3 linked regions of the Saccharomyces cerevisiae S288C genome follow. The gene in region 2 interacts genetically with the main gene of each other region. Each region holds a gene or a part of one and is shown on either strand. Other genes may lie near its edges.

Region 1 (5,663 bases), on a different chromosome or scaffold from region 2:
TGCCCACTATTCAAACGTTAAAGGGAGTGGTATCTTCATCCACATCTTCGTTCGATATGTTATCTAGCTCAAAGCTCACGTTATTGTTTTCCTCTTCAAGTTCGTATGATTTCGGAAGGAATCCTTGTTTTCCCTTTTCAAGTAGATATAGGTAGAATTCCAAACATGCAATCATCCAGAAGTAGACCAAAAATGCGCCTGATACGATAATTAGAACGTACGCACTATGGTCGCCTCCCAACCGCAACACTAAAATGAGTTGTTCTTCGTTTGCGCCCATAAATAGGAGACCTGAACATACTAAACAAAAGGGAGCAAGGTATTGGAATGAATGTATTTTGTCCAGCGTTCTTTTATCACGTAGTAAAAAAGATATTTCGATAATTCTTAAAGCGCCTCCACACATTAAAACTAGCCCAAACATATTATGGACTTTTGTGCTAATTATCAAGTGCTGGGCGTGCTCAGACATGGCCCATCCGGTGAAAATAATAATCAAACTTGGTACAAATGTTCTTCTGCCATTTCTGGAAAGGAAAATCCCGAGTATTCCACCAGTCCACCAGATAATTCCCATAAACGTGTGTTGATAATCGTGAACACTCCATCCTTCACGTCCCCACCTGTGTTCAGTAAAAGTATTTACAACGCCCCATATGCACATAACCCAACTGTCGACGTAATCCTGTGAATATGAGGTTTGGGCACTGCGAATCCATGGTATAACCAAAACCAGTACATAAATGAACCCGTACAACACAAACGCGGATCCCATGATACCATGAGCGATGCATTGCCCTGTGTGTGCCTCTCTACAAAACCCAAAGAGCGCAACAGGTGCCAAACAGACTTTAACCCAACCTGTTAGAACAGTTAGAAAGGATAAACCACGATGGATATATGACAACCTTTTCTCACCTGCATTTGATATGAACGTTTGCAACCTCTTGCTTTTCACTAAGAAACCAGTTCCTCCAGCTAATCCACCAAAGAATAAGGTTATCCAAGTAAGTCCCACCAAAAACCATGCGGTTCCCCTTGAAGTTCTATTTTCTACCCCATCATTGTCTTGAAATCTTAATACGGCAGCTTCTAAGAAAGCGTAAACGGCACAAGTGCATTGTAAGAGGGTAGCTGAATATATCCTGCCAGCGAACGAAAGGCACGTCACCACGGATGGTAAAAGCAACAAGAATCCCAAAGTGCAGAGCCAGTGGAAAGATTTCGACCCAGCCTGCACAATTTCTGGCCTCGTGTATCCCGAAGTATCATCCATGCCCATATCATGCTCCATATCACCGCAGACTTTTTCAAAGAAAAAGCATATTAGTAGAATTGCGCTAATGGATCTGGAAAATCCGAAGACAATATTCTTATTAGCTGCTGTCATTCCTTCTAGGCAGGTAAGGTTTATTCGACCTATTTTTTGTTTTGTCTGCCGTTTTAAAGTTATTCAGCTGTGGTCTTAAATATGCATTAATTGGACCCTCCCCTTTTATGTGCTTGATATATCGGTTCGGAGTTTTCATTTTATTCGCGGGTGCAAACAATGCAAAGTACATCATAGGGATTTCAAACGGAAGGAATAGGATATTAATGTTTGTTTATATATCATATACACATATACGTATACGTATGAGAGAGTATTATAATCTATAAGAAAAAAATGCTATTTTGTAATTTGAAGCTTTCTGTACATATCGAATCACGATCGTCCGGAAGATGGAGGAACATCAGGCTGTAATTCTTGTAATTTATTGGAAGCAGATTCTGCGTTGGCGTCATTTGGGAACTTTTGCTTTATAGGGTCACTAAATGGATTTTCGTTTGTTAGTACACTATCAATTGTATGTTCAGCATCACCGTTTTCTGATGAAGACAAACTTGCAAGATGGTCTTCATCGGACAAATCAAAATCGAAGTCCTCAACCTCTTCGGGCTCAGTAATTCCGGAAGTTCCATTGTCCAAAGTAGAATCGTACTCAGAGTCTGTATCAATGATATCGAATTCATACGTTTCCGCTCTTGACCTTCTGATCCTTCTCCTTGATTTCATAAAAAACATGAAGTATAACACCAAAAATGTGGCGCCAATCAAAAATATTGTTAAAAAATAATGCATGGCTTGCCTAGGAGAGGAAAGTTTTTTAGGAGTGTTTGGATCAGAATCAGGATCGGTACTCGCAGTAGTCGTTTGGGGAATGGCCGACGTTTCCACACCAATTGAGATAGAAGATGTAGAAGTAGCGCTGATGGAAATAGAAGTTGAACTGGCAGAATATTGTGATACGGTACTTTCTGTAGCAGCTGGTTCAACCTCCTCTTTATCGTTTCCAAAGACGAAAGTTTCTGTTTTAGATGAATCAATGGATTCCCCAAAGAGCTTCAGCCTCCAACTGTGGAAGTCAATCCTGTGTCCATTTTCTGTTGTCTTAACCTTGATTTTCCAATCACCTACGCCGTTCTCACCCCAATGTGCTACAGACATGAATGTCCAGTCTTTGAATCCCTCTGATGAAACATCTCTTGGTCTTACAACGCCAAGGTTTGAAATTATCCCCGCTGGTGATATTAAATCGACAGTCGTAGTTCCCCTAATTTCTGTATCAATATCTACAGTTACCGTGACGTGCTCAATTCTCTTGAAGTTAGCATCTTGAAGACTTTTTTCTGATATGGTTATGACGGATTCTAATGTCTCTTCCGTGGAGTTTGTGGACTGGGAAACATACAATGTTGGCAGGTAAAACCAGGTTTGTGCGTTAACATTCTCCCAGGTCTTGGACATTTCAATTAACTTATGGGCATCGATTTTACCAAAGCCATAGCGATGAGAGTATTTCTTCCCCATGGCGCTATCTCTCCAATCTCCGTCAGCGTTCTTTTCTAACCCTACCGCAGACAAGATTGATAAATACTGTACGTCTCTCCAAGTTAGGTTTGGGTTGGCTTCTAGTAACAAAGTGTAAACACCGGCAGCTAATGGAGCAGCCGCAGACGTTCCACCGTGGCTATTACTGCATCTGCCGTTGATATCACTCGAATGAATATATTCGCCTGAACCTGAAGAATACGTGACTGCCATGACGGCGGAACAACCTTCGGAATAAGGAGGATGTAGATCTTTGTGATCAATAGCCCCAATAGTAATAGAATATATGGAATTAGTATAGCCGTCGTAATTGCAATTATCACCACGAGTTCCACCATTTCCACTGGCAAAAACGTAAATCGCTCCTTTGGAATCTCTTCCCTCAGTAACACCTTTTACTAAAGCCTTTTTCACCAGGTCACTAGGGCCTTGTAAATGTCTTCCGTCATCAGCGGGACCCCATGAGCATGAATATATATCGTTTACGTCTAGACCATAAATCAAGGACGCAGCTTCATCTTCCGTAGTGATATCACCGGATAAGATTCTTATGCCTGAGATTTTAGCGTTGTAACCTACCCCGACACCGCAAAAATTGTTACCTTTTTTGGCAGCTATTTCACCTGCACATCTCGTACCATGGTAGTCATCAGATAATCTTGGTTTAGGTAAATTGGTATTGTCGTTGAAATCCCAAGAACCTTCAGCGCAAAAATTATCCTTCAAGTCTTCATTTTCGTAGTCAAGGCCATCATCAACAATGGCAGCCACGACCCCTGCGCCTGTAATATTATTGTACCACAGATCAAGAACATTTATATCACTGCCAGGAAAACTTGGATTGACCAAGTGCCACTGCCTCTCAAAAAGCGGATCATTTATGCTGAGTTTATCCTCAGCTTCTTTTACCGGTAACAAGCTTGAGTCCATTGGTGGAGCAGGCACCGGTAGTCTCTTAAATAGGTCGTTACGCGGGAATAAATCATGGACAGATAATATGTGGTCGTTGTTATCCCCCTGTAACTCTTCTAATGATGATCTTTTGCCCAATTTTAGCAACTCTTTTGAAAAAACATAATGGTTTGGTAGCCCTCGAACATCATGTTCATATTTCCAATTTGGATGCATTTCCTCCAAGCGGGATAATGTTTCATTGCTTTCTACAGCAAAATACTGTCGTGACGTATGGTCCTTCAATGGAATTTGTTGTGATGATACAAGAGCGGATGTTGAAAAGGCCCACCAAAAGCATAAAGTAATATATTTCCTCACTTTCATCTGATAATGGGTTAGTAGTTTATAATTATGTGACGAGGCCAAAAAACAACGGGATTAGTTTATCCTTAGTATGGTAGCCGAATGAATGAAATATGTGGAATAGATTTCTCTTTTACAAAACGGGATGTTTAAGCCAGGAAAAAGAACAGGCTTATGACAGAATTATGCATATGAAACGAGAGAAAGAACACGTCCAGCAAATATGGAGTACCTTGTTTGCCTTTAGAAAATGTTTCGGTTTCAATACTGTTCTCTTCAGCGATGCTGTTGAAGTATCAGCTCAGTTATTTAATATGCTAACCTTTCCTTTGTTTGTTTTCTTTTTCTATCTTTATTTTTTTTCCATTTACCGTTTTTTGCGTTTCAGAAAATGACCCTCATTGATTATATGAATAATAATATACACGTTATCATTTTTTATTTCTTTTATGTATGTATAGTAAAAATAAAACATGTCGAGATACGTGTATCTACATCAGAGCTGCTGAAACTATTTATTTGGCCAAAGCACCCATTGGGTCCCAGATGGGCAAGACAATCGGCTCTTCCTTACCTGAGGTGAATTTTGAAGCCAGCTCTTTTGGCAATTCATTGATATCGACCACAATTTGAAAGCAGTACTCCTCGAAGTACTTTTGAGTCATCACGTATAATCCGTCTTTACCGGAGTCTTTACCCCAGGAATTTTCAACGCGGTAGCGAAGTGGTAATTTAGACGTTTCATCGACGTGGCAGCCAGTGATCAACATAGCATGAGTCATCAAACTTTCATGGTATCTAATACGCGATGCCTTTTGCTGAGGTAAATTATAGCCGATGGCAGGATAGTTCCACAATTCAATATCCATGACACCAGTTTTCTTGTCCATGAACTTTGGAGTGTGAGATCCAAAAAAGACAGCTTTGTTATTTTGTAATCTCTTAACAACCAATTTAGATAGTGTTTCATTGTCAACATTTAAGTAAATCACGGCATCTCCGCCAAGGACGTTTCCTAAACGATCGATCTTAATTAATTTACCATATGGGTGTCTTGGATCATTGATCAATGAGACTGGCGTGGAAGGGTCCAATTTTGCGTATTTGGAGGCAAATTCTAACGGAGTCGATTTGATAGTGTGGATTTTCTTGTCTTTGTCAACGTATTCCCAAGTGAATTGCTCGTTTGGTTGCACTGGAGGTATGTCCATGAACAACGACATCAACCTGAAGATTTCTCTTTGCATTTGCTCTCTCAGAGTGACAATTATGGAATCATCGGCAGAACGCTCTTTCAAAGCTGTTCTTAGAGTCTCGGCAAATTCTCTCAGTTTAGTAGTCAACAGAGAATTCCATTTTCTGGACGCAGTAGTAGAATAAGGTAGATCCCCGTATAAATCTTTGGGGATAAGGCCATACTTCTTGACTAGGTTCAAAAACATGCTGTATTGGCCACCGTCTTCTGTTGGAGCTGCTAACAAGTATTGCACGAGACGTGAGTCGATGTCTTGATCAGCCGAGGAGACGATTTGGT
Region 2 (8,028 bases):
CATATTTTGAAGTTATAGTAATATCCAAACGGGTGGCACACAGGTATAGGTACTACTGCTGCCAACATTACACCGGGAGTAAATGTCCAAAAGAAGGCAATATATAACCCGCAATCAGGCTGGTAATTCTAGCCAAATATTACAGCCGCACAACATTTATATTCATATTTATATGTGCCAGGAAAAGCCTCTTCAATAATAGAGTTAAAATAGATGATTTCCATATTTGGTCGGCAAAGCAGTGCAAGAAACTCAAATGAAGCATACACTAACCAGAATCGGTAAAAAGACGGAAAAGAGATCATATAACCTCGACAGGTTCTTCTTTATATGAGATGGAAATAAACTTATCTAATAGAATTAATAGGAAAAGAACAGAGGCAACGTTAAACGCATCGAAATGTAAAGTATATGCGCTCCAAAACGAATATAGTTTGATACAACTAAATTCTGCTTAAGAGATCAATTTCGAAATTCACGCCTATAAGTAATTTGACTACTTCTAAATCAGCATGTTTCTGAAGAGATCGGAATCCTAAATAGCGTTCAAATGCACCACTAGCTTTGAAAAAAACAGAGTTGGAAGAGTTTATTGGGAGGTTAGTGGTGACTTTACACGGTCAGCTTTATGATACCGCTATTGCTTCAGTTTTCTATTTTTCTCCTTATTAACAGGCCGATGGTCATAATAGTGGTTTACGAAGAAAAAAGGGAGGTTAATATTTCAAGGGAAGCTGGCACTTGACTAAAGAACTGGAGCTGTTGCTTATACTAGTGAACCTCAAATCCAATCTAAATACAGCTAGAAAATTCATTTCTTTTTTCCTCCTTTTTTCACAGGCCTAGGAAGCTTCTTGATCTGCCTTGCGAACAATGGCAACGCGTATCTTATCTCTTGAAAAGTATTTGGTTCTTATTCAGTCATCCTTTGTTGGTTATATAGTATAAGTACATGCCATGACGAAATTCAGGAGTTACTCTGGAGTGTAATGCTGCTGCGTTTTAGTTATAAATAATATATCATCTTAAGGTGATCGATCCAGTGCTTAGATAATAATTCAGTTCACAAATTCGGCATGGAGGACCACCCACGCATTATTGTCGGTTTATGCTATATATAAGTTTAATTATAATTAGGATGAGCTAGTTCGCCAACTAAATATAAAATCAGAGAATGAAAACATTTCAGTGAAAGTTAGTCAATAAAACAGTAATTGGGATCATCAATTGCAGTATCTATTATTAGTATATTCTACTAAGTCCTACATAATATATATTTAACGGTACTACAGTACGGCTCGAGTTACTTAGCTAATCAAGCAATTAAAAACAAGTTTCTGTCAAACAAGTGTATTAAAGGCGAAACTGTACCAGTTATCTGACCTCATTGAAATGAGACATCACCCGCTTATATGTTGGTATCCATAACTGATAATCTTACCAACTATTTAATCGTTACAGTTTCCCATATATAGCTCCTCAAATGCCGCAATATAGTTTCTTCTCAAAACGTCATAAGCAGTTAAATGTCGCATCCGTCTAATGGCCTCTTGAAAAAGGAGGTCAGGCTCCATTTGCAAAGACATTTTCCGCCCACACTTTGACTGCTTTGTTGCATATGAAGATGTTGCTTCAAATTCAGGAATAATGCTGTCATCATACAGATATTGGACAGTTTGGTCATCCAAAAGAATAGGGACACAGGAACACAAAACTGTCATCCGCTCCGGCTCATACTTTAAATTTGCTTCTGTAGGTAATGTATGTAACTTGAAGTCCGCACCTCGTAGGAATTTTTTCTTTATTTGTTTACAAAATTTAAATAAGGTTTTGGCTTTCAGCGGGATAGGATCTTGATATTTTTTGAAGTCATTCCACTTAACTAAATTCATTTGGTCAATCATGGCACGCTGATGATCTTTTAGCAGTGTCAGTAAGCGCGGATCCTTTGGGTTAATCGGTTTTTCCTCTGCTAGGTCGATTAGAAATCCATCTGCTACTAAAAACCTCGGCGAAACATACTCCTCCTCTGTACTAAACTTTTTTTCAGCTGCCCACATATTTTCCATTTGTTTTATCAGAGTAATCAAAAGGTCTTCCTTAATAAGTTCGAGTGTAATTTTATATTCTTCAATGCTCTGGTAATATTCCTTATCAAAGCTAGCCTGCATCTCAGGATTCGCCTGAAAAGTATCCCTTATCTCTTCTAAAGATTGTGTGGTTTTTTCTATGCATATTTTTTCCAACCTTCTTGCCAATTCTTCAACAAGTTCAATATAATTTTTATCTTGACCAGCAGACATCAACAGTAAGGTGACTCTGGACACAGGAAATTTCGAAATTTGATCTAGGACCTCGCTAGAAACCTTATTCACCCTGATATTATTTTTTTCCTTTTGACTATTAAATTGCGTATGCACATTCTCTATTTGAGAAATATCTGCTGAGATCTTTCTTTTTACAACCTCTGCTTCAGTAAACTGCTGTTTTTTTATGTCTGAATAATCCAGGTTGGAGATAGTATTCTCCACAATTGGCTTTTCCCTGACAATAAACCTATAATCGTTATTTTTACTTTTGAATGAATCTGGGGCTGTTGAATTTGATATGGCATATGCAATATGTGTTGCTTTGGCAGTTGTCGTTCTCTTCACACGATACCACAGTGGAGCCTTACCGCATTTTCCATTTTCCATTACTTTACAAAATTTAACAAATACCCTCTTTCCTAATAATTGAAATAGCAGATCATCCTTTACAAAATAAAAATTTGAATTCAAACTATAAAGTATGTCAAGGCTTACCGGATTGTAAGTTTTTCTTAAATGGGCCCATTTTGTTAAGCCAACCTGACTCCTCAAATTGTTATCGTTCCACCTATAGAGCCTCCTTTCATTTAAGTATAGAAGGAAGCCCTCAATTATAATGTATTGATGACTAACATTGATCTCAATAAGGGGATACTCCCGATCAGGGTTTACATCCAATGAAAATTCACATACCCCCGCTAAGGGCTTTTCTTTATCTTTTAGCATCGGATGTATGTACACGGTGCCCCATTTTGGTAAATATAACCTGCAGCATTTACAAGTTAATTTCTTGACAACTTTGTAACGTAATTTGCTTCTGATCCTCTTCAGAATTATTCTTCCATCTTCTAACAAGAAAAACTCTCGCAAAACTAGCTTTATGTGTTTAAATAGTTCCATAGATTTCACTCCAACGAGCACCGAATTAGAATCCTTCTTTAATCGCGTCCAGTCCACCAAGTTTTGTTGTGATAGCTTTTTGTAGTCATCGTCATTGGGTAACAGTAATCTTACTTCAGGACTCCGAAAATTTATTGGTTTTCGCTTCACAGTGTCTACCAGCCATCCATCAATAACTGCAAGCCTGGAGTTGATCTGTAGCATTTTTTTTGATATTATCTTATAATTTTTCAGCTGCTTATAACGACGTGTGATTATTGACATTATTGTTCTCATTCTTATATTACTCAATATACATTCCGGGTCACATGTGCCCAAATTCTCGCGACAAACTTTTCGAGGCCGATATTAATAAACCATAGAAAAAGTACTGATCCTCGAAATCAGAGTTAAAGACTTTTAGAAGATTGGAAGTAAGGAATCCACCATTCGCTTGAGGTTTCGGGTTAGAAATTCTTTGCCTACCATTCGTTGCAAGCCTCTTTAGATTCTGCTTGCTGACTCGCTCGCTATTTGTTCTTTTTCAACAGAAAGCATAGACTTATTATTGTGACTAAGGATCAGTTATCGTTTGCCTGCTCGGGACAATTAAAACGAATATCTCTAAGTTGGATATTTTATACTGTGAGGCAGTTTTTGTACTGAGTTATTGAGTATTAGACAAAATTTCGAGTCCTTATTTTACTCTTCACCTAGGTCCGGCTTCTTAGTTTTGTGTTATTTATCAGGGATATATTTTTTTTTTGGGAGCTCATCGTAGTAAGAAGTAAAAGAGATGACTGCCAGCACATCAGTTGCGGTGGGTTGTGCGGTGGGTATACCCGTCGGTGTAGGTATTATAATAGCAGTATGTTTCTGGTTTAACCTACAAAAAAGATACAAGAGGGAGGAACAAGACGATAGAGAATTGGAAAGGGCTATTTATGATGAAAGTGGTTTCGTGTCCTTTGACAATTTTGGACCCTTAAGAGACAGTAAAGATGAAGCAGCACTAGCCAGCTCCGAGCTAAAAAATCCTGATCACACTTCTGGTTCATCGGAAGGATCTGCTCATCCAGAAGAAAAAGATGGAAAATCGCGAGATCAAGAGAAACCGTTAGGGAAAAAGAATAGTAAATACTATGTGCCAGCATACCGTAGGAAAATAAATTTACTTCAAGTACGAAATAATAACTACGGCAATAATGCCAGGCAGAAGTCCGTTGTGGATTTACCAAGTATAAATAACAGCTCCAATGTTTCCTTATCATCTTCCCAACGGCATATAACAAAGAGACAGATCAGCGTTTATGATCAGATGGTCCCTGTTATTTCTGATGAAGGACCAAACTTTTTCGCAGATCCTTCCAGTGATACTAATACTAGCAATGACCAAAACAAAGCTTCGATGATAGAACTTAAACATAATACTCGCCAATCTAGTAATGAAAATCTGATAAGAAATTTGCAGAATCAGGACTTTGGTTCGTATTACCCAAGGAGAGCTTCATCCTCGTTTTTAAATGGTAACATTTCAAACGCGTCCTTCCATACAAGGAATTCCTCTATAACATCGGTAAATAAGCGCGATGCCCTAGAGGATGTGTTTGCAACACCCAAAAGTGCGGCTCAATCACAGTTACCAAACACTTTTGATAAAGATAACGAAGGAATGGATGCTGACCACTCGGTAAAGGATAGCAGGTCTGCAATAACAGATAAAGATAAGGATTTATACAAATTACAGAATAACTATGATGTGGGCAATATCGGGGAAATTGCTGAGGAAGATCAATACGAAAACGAATTTACCAACTACTCACAGAGTAAGAGAGAGTTCATAGAAAGTCTAAGGCCTAAATAGTACTGTTGATATACTAAACATTATATTATAGTTAAAAAAAGAAGAAAAAAAGAGGAACAATTCTATTAAATTCACTTCAAACATCAAACGTAAACAATACAAACAGAACTCTTCATGGATGATGGGTTTTAAAAAATTAGTCAAGACATAATTCTTAAAGTTCATAGTCTCATTTTTCATTTTCTTTTTGCCTGCTTTCTCTTTTATACATCGCCGCATAATTTACTAAACGCCCTTTGTGTTTGTGGGCGGAAAGAAATATATTCCCTTAAAATTTCCAGGAAATTATGTTGCTACAATGACTTATAAAGGGAAAAAATAAGAAGAGAAATCTTGGAAGAATACCCTAGTAAAATAGTGTACAAGGCAAAGTTCTTAATTATGCAAAATCGCCGTATATGAAATAGAACAACTTTTTATACAGCTTAAATACAGAATTCAAGTATGTTAATCAACATGAAAGAAAAAAAAAAAAAAATGCGAGTCATGAAACTACACGTTTTTTTCAGAGAATATTATCCATCTTGTGCTATGTATAATATACACTTATGCTTATTACAAAACTAATATGTTAAACAATTGAAAGATTTGTGTTTTTTTTCGGCCTTGCCTTCTCAACTAGGATTCAGTGGCAGGACTGACCCATTATCGGTAGAACCTCCTGACGTCATATCATGCTCGCTCGTCTTCTTAGCCTCATTATGCAGTGTATCTGCCTTTTTATCCAACAGTTCGTTAAAAAAATCGTATCCTCCGCTATGGGAACCTAGGCTGCTATCTTCTGTATGTGAGCCAATCCCTTGATGTACCACTTGAGGCTTGGCACCATCATTTTCAGCTGACTTTTCAACTGGAGGATTTGGATTCGTAGTAGCCAAGGATCTTAACGTTTCCCAAAAATCCAGGCCGTCTTCATCTCTCAATGGAGTATCAGATCTGGATGTAGTCCTTGATATCTCCGACTGATCAATGTGATTGAATTTATTGGTTGTCACAGATGATGAAGAATGATGCTGAGATGATTCACTTTTTCTTTTTTCTTTTTTCTTAGTTTTACTGCCGTTACTTCTTACTGAATTTGGAGATGGATTGAGTAACTTATTCAAGTCAGCACCTCTTGTCGCATCTGATGAGCCTAAATGAGGCCGTATAGTTGGTGGCAAATAGTTGAAATGCGCTATTCTATTAGGACCTACATCAGGTGGCATTTCTGAACCGCTCGTTGTATATGATGCCGTCGAACTTGGTGCCTTGCCATTTGTTCCATTGAAATTCGGTGACATACTATTAGCACTAACGTTTCCTTGAATGATTTCATTATTTGTAGCGGTAGAATTAGTTGGGATCAATGTATTTGCTTGAGGATAAAATACAGACGGGCTGTTTGTTTCTCTATTGCTTTGTGAACCAAGTTCATTTGCATTGTCAGCGGGATTGTGTGAAGTTGCTTCCAAGCTGAATGCGTTATAGTTGGGTGTTCTTGATAAAAAATCGCTATCCATGTTGTCCAGAGAAGTCCTATATTCTGGGTTAAAAGTGTCACTATTTGAATTTAACCCTGGAAGACCATTTCCCAGTTGTCTACCCATATGTGGGAAACTATCCATTAATAGAGGGTTTCCATTTATATTTCCTATATTTGACAATCCAGTATTGCTGCTGACAGGATGGTCTGTGGATGTAACATAATGATTGTGAATATGTTGATGTATCGAAATTTTTAAAGAGTACTTCTTAGCTTGGTCAACCAATTCTTTTACTAATTTTGTGCTGTCAATAGTTCCGTTAGAAATTGACAAACCTTGACCATCTTTTAATGTAAATTTCCATTGTGTGCTAGAGGAATTTGGTTCTCTAGTTTTCACAGTAGAATAAGCATGCTTCGGAGAATCTGAAATACTATTACTATTCATCATATGCTCATCGAGAGATGCTGGATTGAATGCTGGGGGAAGGCTTGTCTGTGGGCTATCTGAGATTCCTCCAGGACTTTGCTTGTTCATTTGAGAAAGACCTTCAATTGGTAAAGATACTTTGCTCCTAATGCTACCACTGGTATGAGTCTGACCGACTTGCGTCATCCTGATTGGTGGAGGTGCAGATATCTCTTTTAAGGGAGGTAATGCTTGTGGCTTGCTGTCATTTAAAATGGGTCCATCATTATCCTTTAATCTTGGTAGTTTGCTCGATTCGTTCTCTTTAACATTCAATATATCCTGCTTTATCAATGAAGGGTTGTTCTGTTGAGATAGCTGCAACTGTTCTTCTTTATTCGGTGTAGAATCTGAGCGTATATCAGAATCGGCGATTGGATGTTGTCGGAGTTTTCCGTCTGTCATGTCTATGTTCTTGTTTTCTTTTATAGCCTTTGTTATTACTTCTGATGCTTGTCCTCGCACAACCATAGTAATAATTTTCCGCCATCTGTTCCTGCACGTTAAACTTGGTCTGAATTCCATTTCCGACGAAATCTTTCTCCATTTCGTGCCGTATGCCTTCACTTTACTTATCAGATTTAAATCTTCCTCGAGCGTCCATTCTCTTAATCTACCTTTACTTCCAGGTCCCAACACTTCAATGTACCTTTTCGCACATTGATCCTCTGTTCTTCCAGGGATATCCATGGAGATACTCAGCCAGTGAGGCCCATGTTCTTCATAAGCTTTCAAGAGCTGCTCATCCTCTTCTTGTGTCCATTTACCTTTCTTCAAGTTTGGGTCCAGAGATCCTGTCCAACGCTTTCTTACATCCTTTGAAGTTCTTACGGTGTGTTTGAATCGTGTAGCTAAAACATCCCAAGCAATACATTTAGAAAGATGGTTGGATTGTTGAATTGTTTTTACGTCTTCAAGTCCATTCTCATAGCCTAACTCCTTTGCGGATTCGTTTACTAGCGATCGTAGCATATTATCGTCGTCCTTTGACCATGAATTTCTTCCATTTTTCCTGTGTGTCTGATAGCCAAGTGATTCAGTC
Region 3 (4,649 bases), on a different chromosome or scaffold from region 2:
AATTTTACTGCTCAATTCGCTTCCGTGAGCGCCACGTCTTTTATTTACTGGTATTATTGCTTCATCAGAACTTTCTGAACTAACTTCATCTGTTTCCTCTTCAAGCCCACCATCATCACTCACTTCTGGATTATTTGCATATACAAAATTCTCTCGGCCGTCAACGAGTTCTGTAGATGTCTTCTCTGGCTTTGACCCAGGTTTACTTGAAAGCACAGATGTTTCATTGTTTGGCTCATAATCGGATTCCTGTTCTGAAGAGTTTATTGGTATTTCCTCTGAAACAATTAGTTCCTTTGATATAGATCTTTTTTGTAAAATTTTCGAAGAATCTGTAGGTGATGTGAGCGCAGAAGGGGACGCCGATGAGATGTTAGGGGAAACAGACTCTTCTTGGGGAGAAATTGAACCATGAGTTGTTGACGTTCCTCGCTGAGACGGTATATTTCCATTATTTACGTCATCATCTGCAGAGGGCTCGATTTTAATTTTTTTCATTGAAGGTTTCTTTGCTAGTCTTTTTGAAGATCTTTCAACTCCCATCTTATGCATCACCTGTCTATTTGTCTTCTGCCCACTCACTGGTACAGATACTCTTTTCAAGTATTCATCAGATTGTTTGGGTTCCATTTCCTTTACTCTTCTTATGATTTGAAAAATATCAATTGGTACAAACTTTTCCGCAGTAGGTTCGCATGCATAACGTACTAGAAAATCTCTATCCTCTATTTTATCGATACTACTATCATTCCATTGTGACTCTGGCAGTATCTGTCCAACTGCAATGAAATCCTTAAGCCAAATCTCTGATAGCTCAGCAGTTAAATATAACTCGCTCTTATTTACTTCGTTGAAAAATTTATCTTTGTAAAATTCTAAAGGATGATCTTCCTTTATTAGATCTGGCCTGAATTGTTCGTAGTACAGTTTTGGTTTGAGTTCAAACCATCTCAAGTAAGAAAAAACCCAAATCTCCACAACATTATTAAGTGTATTGAGTCTGATCTCATGGATCAAGTAGACAGAATATGTTTCCGTCACATTATCATTAAATATCACGCTCTCACCCTTCCCAAAACTCAATCCATCAGAAATTCTTTTCAGAAATACGTTTTCTCCTCCTCTTTTTCTTGATCTTCTTCTATTGTTGTCGTCAATAACCCTCCCCTGATCATCTGTAATGATAACTTGCCAACCGTCCAAATCTTTCAATGTTTTAGCCATTTTAGCTAATCCAATTGTTAGAACAAAACAACTTTCTTAAACCCCTGTAAGGAAGGTGATGAAAGGGCTGCTTATGTGTTTTTCTTTTTCATACTATGTTCATTTTAACTTTTTTGGAAAGAATAGCGTTTTCGCGGTCATATTACTGATGCGATGAAAATTTACAATTATTTCTTTATTTAGATTGATACATAATATGGTTAACTTTAAATACATCTTTTGGACGCCGCATAAACAAACGTCCCGAATACTTTGTTCCCCTGGATTCGTTGTTTGCTTAACACTGTCAACTCTCTACTTAGTTTCATTTACACCATTTCTTTGTGTATCAGTCATTGCGAATACCCTTGCATATCTAATGGATCGAAAATAAATGGTGATGTCAAGAATACGAGATACAATAGCCAGGCCATTCCAGAACCTTACAGCCCTTGAGAAAGTGGTACAGTGGCTAAGATTAGGGACGACATTACTCATAATCTCTTTCGGGTTGGCGTTGACTGTCGGACCCCTTTCTTCGCCAAGAACATTGTACATGTCACGACTGGATACTTACTCTGCTGATATTACGACGGGTTTATTTACCGTGTTGAGAGAGTCTATGGAGCAGTCGACATCTACAGAAGAAAATAACGGTGTAGGCTTAACAACATCCGAACTGTATATATTGACTGCTTACACCGAAAGTCAGATAAAGAATGTTCCTCAGTACATCACAGTGTCGCTTTATGGGAGGTGCGATTCAACATATACCATGGTGGAAGTATTCGACTCTGAAGGAAATATGCATAGCGTAAAGAATTCGACTACTAAGAGTACCTGCAGTAGCATAGGAACGGACTATCTTTTTGATTATCGTGAGGTTTTAGAAAGCTTGGGTTTAGATATCATTTTAGATTATGCATACAACAAAATCGGTTCACAACAGGCAGAAAGTTCTGCATACACGACCTACATGAGGAGTTTAAAACATAAAAAGGCCAACGTGTTACATTTACTCTATGCAGTTATTAGTTTCCAGGTGTGTATGTTATTTTTCATGATATGGTACTACTACATAAAGGGAAGGTTTATGAACGCCCTCAAAGAAAGGGCACTTGTTCATATCAACTCTCTACTATCGCTAGTTGTTTTCATTGGGGGCCTGATAAGTAGCATAAGCCTTGCCTGGGTTAACTACACTATTCAGTCTAGAATTAATACAGAATTAGAGGCCTTCGGGTTTTCTTACCATCTTGGAGTTACATGGTTTGCGCTTCTGTGGTGTTTTGCAGGTTTGATTTCTGTGTCATGCTTAGCTTGGTCTGGCTTAGAATGGTGTATTTCCGATAATGGCACGTCCTATGGAGGTGGAATCGATGATAAATTCTTAGGCTACCAAGCCGGTGTATTTACTGATGCAGATCTAGACGATGAAACTTCTTACAGTCAACGTTATCCGCAACGACAGTCTACTTCGGGCGAGGCTGAACTGATGAGAAACAGTGATACTATGGCAACAATAAGAAAAACATCTGATGTTGACTTAAATAGTGAAAATGATGCTAACACCAGTTTAGACCATGGAAATCCCACCGCAAATATAAGCAATGGCGGCAAACACGAACCATTTGCTACTAGAGAGGAATTCGAATTGCAGGACATAAGATTCCGGTCAAGCAACGACAGTGAAGAAAGTATGCAAAGGGTTATCAAGCCTTCGTCAGCATTACAGTTTTGAATTCTTTCACCCATCATTCAAAATGCATATGCATACTATATTTGTCTAGTTTTTAATTATATAATAATAATAACAGAAACAAAAAATCGCATTCATCGTTTAATCTTATTTTTCTTTTTTCACCTTTTTCTTGTGAAATTGCCAAGCGCTTAAAAAATCGTTATTTCAGAACTAAACATCATTAAGCAACGAAGAAGAGAAAAGCGGAACTATAACCATGAGTGATACTACGGAAGTCCCTAGGCAATCATCTGAGAACGACCAGGATAATAACTTGGAAAGAACCAACTCATTAAAAAGTCCGGACGTGACCAACAATATACCAAGTCTTTTCAAATTAGCCGCCGAATGGCAAATCAACAATCCACAGGAAACCTTCCAAAACCATATCCTGGAAAATGATGTACTCAAGAAAATTAATGAAATCACTCATTTGATCCGGGAATCGTACAAAGACCTCTCCAGTCAAGATGGGATGATGTCCAAACAACAACAGGAAAAGATGGATTGGGATTTGTTTTGTACTGTTCCTGTAAACATTATTGAGCAATATACAAAAGACATGGACGAAATATATGAAAAAATGGAAAGGCTAGCAAAAGTAAGTATAGGTCGAAACTAGGCATCCTGTGCCATCTCAATTTTACTACGTTCTTTTACTAATAATGCAAATTTAATAACAGCAACAACGTCTTTGGTGTGAATCCGCTTTTCAAATAGACGTGGAAAGATGTGGTGACTCCATTCTCAATGCTGAAACGTGGATGAAGAAGAAAGAGCGCCATTTAGAGTACAAAAATATTGAAATGGAAAGATCCGCAAATGAAATTAAGGAAACTATTCAAAGACTAACAGATGATAGATGAGCCATACTCAAATATATCTGCGATATTGCTAATGTTAGCTATTTCTCACATTTGCTTTTTTTGATTTTATTTATTTACTTTTACGACAACTGGCCTTATCACTCGGCTCTCTAAAAGAAGTCATGTTCCCTTCGTTGGGTTAATTTTTTTTTTTTTTTTTTTTGTTTATATGTTTTTTTTTTTTTTGCCAGGTATTGTTAGCGCCAGATAGCAAAAAATTTTATTCAGGGATACTGAACACCGGGGAAGTTAACTGAGTATATCGGTTATCATTATAAACACAAGAATGTAAGCCAGAAAGAAAAATAAACGTCCACCCCTCGAACTTTCACATATAAGCAAGTAAAGAAAAAGTTAACAAAAGGAGGTTCAGAACATGACAATTGAAAGCACTCTAGCTCGGGAATTAGAAAGCTTGATTTTACCCGCTGATTCCATAGTGAATGTAGTTGACCAATTCCAAGAGGAGTTGTTATCACGGCTTCAGACAAATACGATTTCTATGCTCCCGCAGTGTTTAGTCCCAGATAAACGATCGCGATGGAACCCTGAAGACAAAATTCTGACCATTGATTTCGGCGGGACAAGACTGAAATTTGCAATTATCTCTCTGCCCCAAATCGTTATCGAATACAATGATGCCTTCGAACTTACCTACAACATCGTTGATTCGAATTTCTTTAATCAAATCATCTATACAATATGTACCAGGCTGGCTGCAAATGGTTATATAAAAAAAAAGAACGAGTCATCTGAGGCGTCTAAATTTTTTGTTTCCGTGACATTCAGTTTTCCTCTAAATCCAGAAGGGGAGGTAGTTGCAATGGGAAAAGGATTTG

Evidence for each region. A genetic interaction does not mean that the proteins touch.
Region 1: of SKG1 (region 2) and KEX2, extra expression of one rescues a mutant of the other (dosage rescue), as found in Saccharomyces cerevisiae (one study listed by BioGRID).
Region 3: mutations in SKG1 (region 2) and ECM7 together harm fitness more than expected from each alone (negative genetic interaction), as found in Saccharomyces cerevisiae (2 studies listed by BioGRID).

What each region holds. Positions count from the first base shown.
Region 1 is NC_001146.8:200,915-206,577, reverse strand, and holds KEX2 (kexin KEX2), read right to left. Parts: upstream 4,151-5,663; coding exon 1,706-4,150; downstream 1-1,705. Other genes in the region: YTP1 (Ytp1p), read right to left, coding at 11-1,390; LAP3 (bleomycin hydrolase), read right to left, coding at 4,645-5,663.
Region 2 is NC_001143.9:635,925-643,952, reverse strand, and holds SKG1 (Skg1p), read left to right. Parts: upstream 1-3,984; coding exon 3,985-5,052; downstream 5,053-8,028. Other genes in the region: SIR1 (Sir1p), read right to left, coding at 1,449-3,413; BAS1 (Bas1p), read right to left, coding at 5,667-8,028.
Region 3 is NC_001144.5:1,021,028-1,025,676, forward strand, and holds ECM7 (Ecm7p), read left to right. Parts: upstream 1-1,597; coding exon 1,598-2,944; downstream 2,945-4,649. Other genes in the region: chromatin-silencing protein SIR3, read right to left, coding at 1-1,224; GMC2 (Gmc2p), read left to right, coding at 3,162-3,545, 3,628-3,810; NGK1 (hexokinase), read left to right, coding at 4,187-4,649. UniProt on the Saccharomyces cerevisiae protein: May be involved in cell wall organization and biogenesis.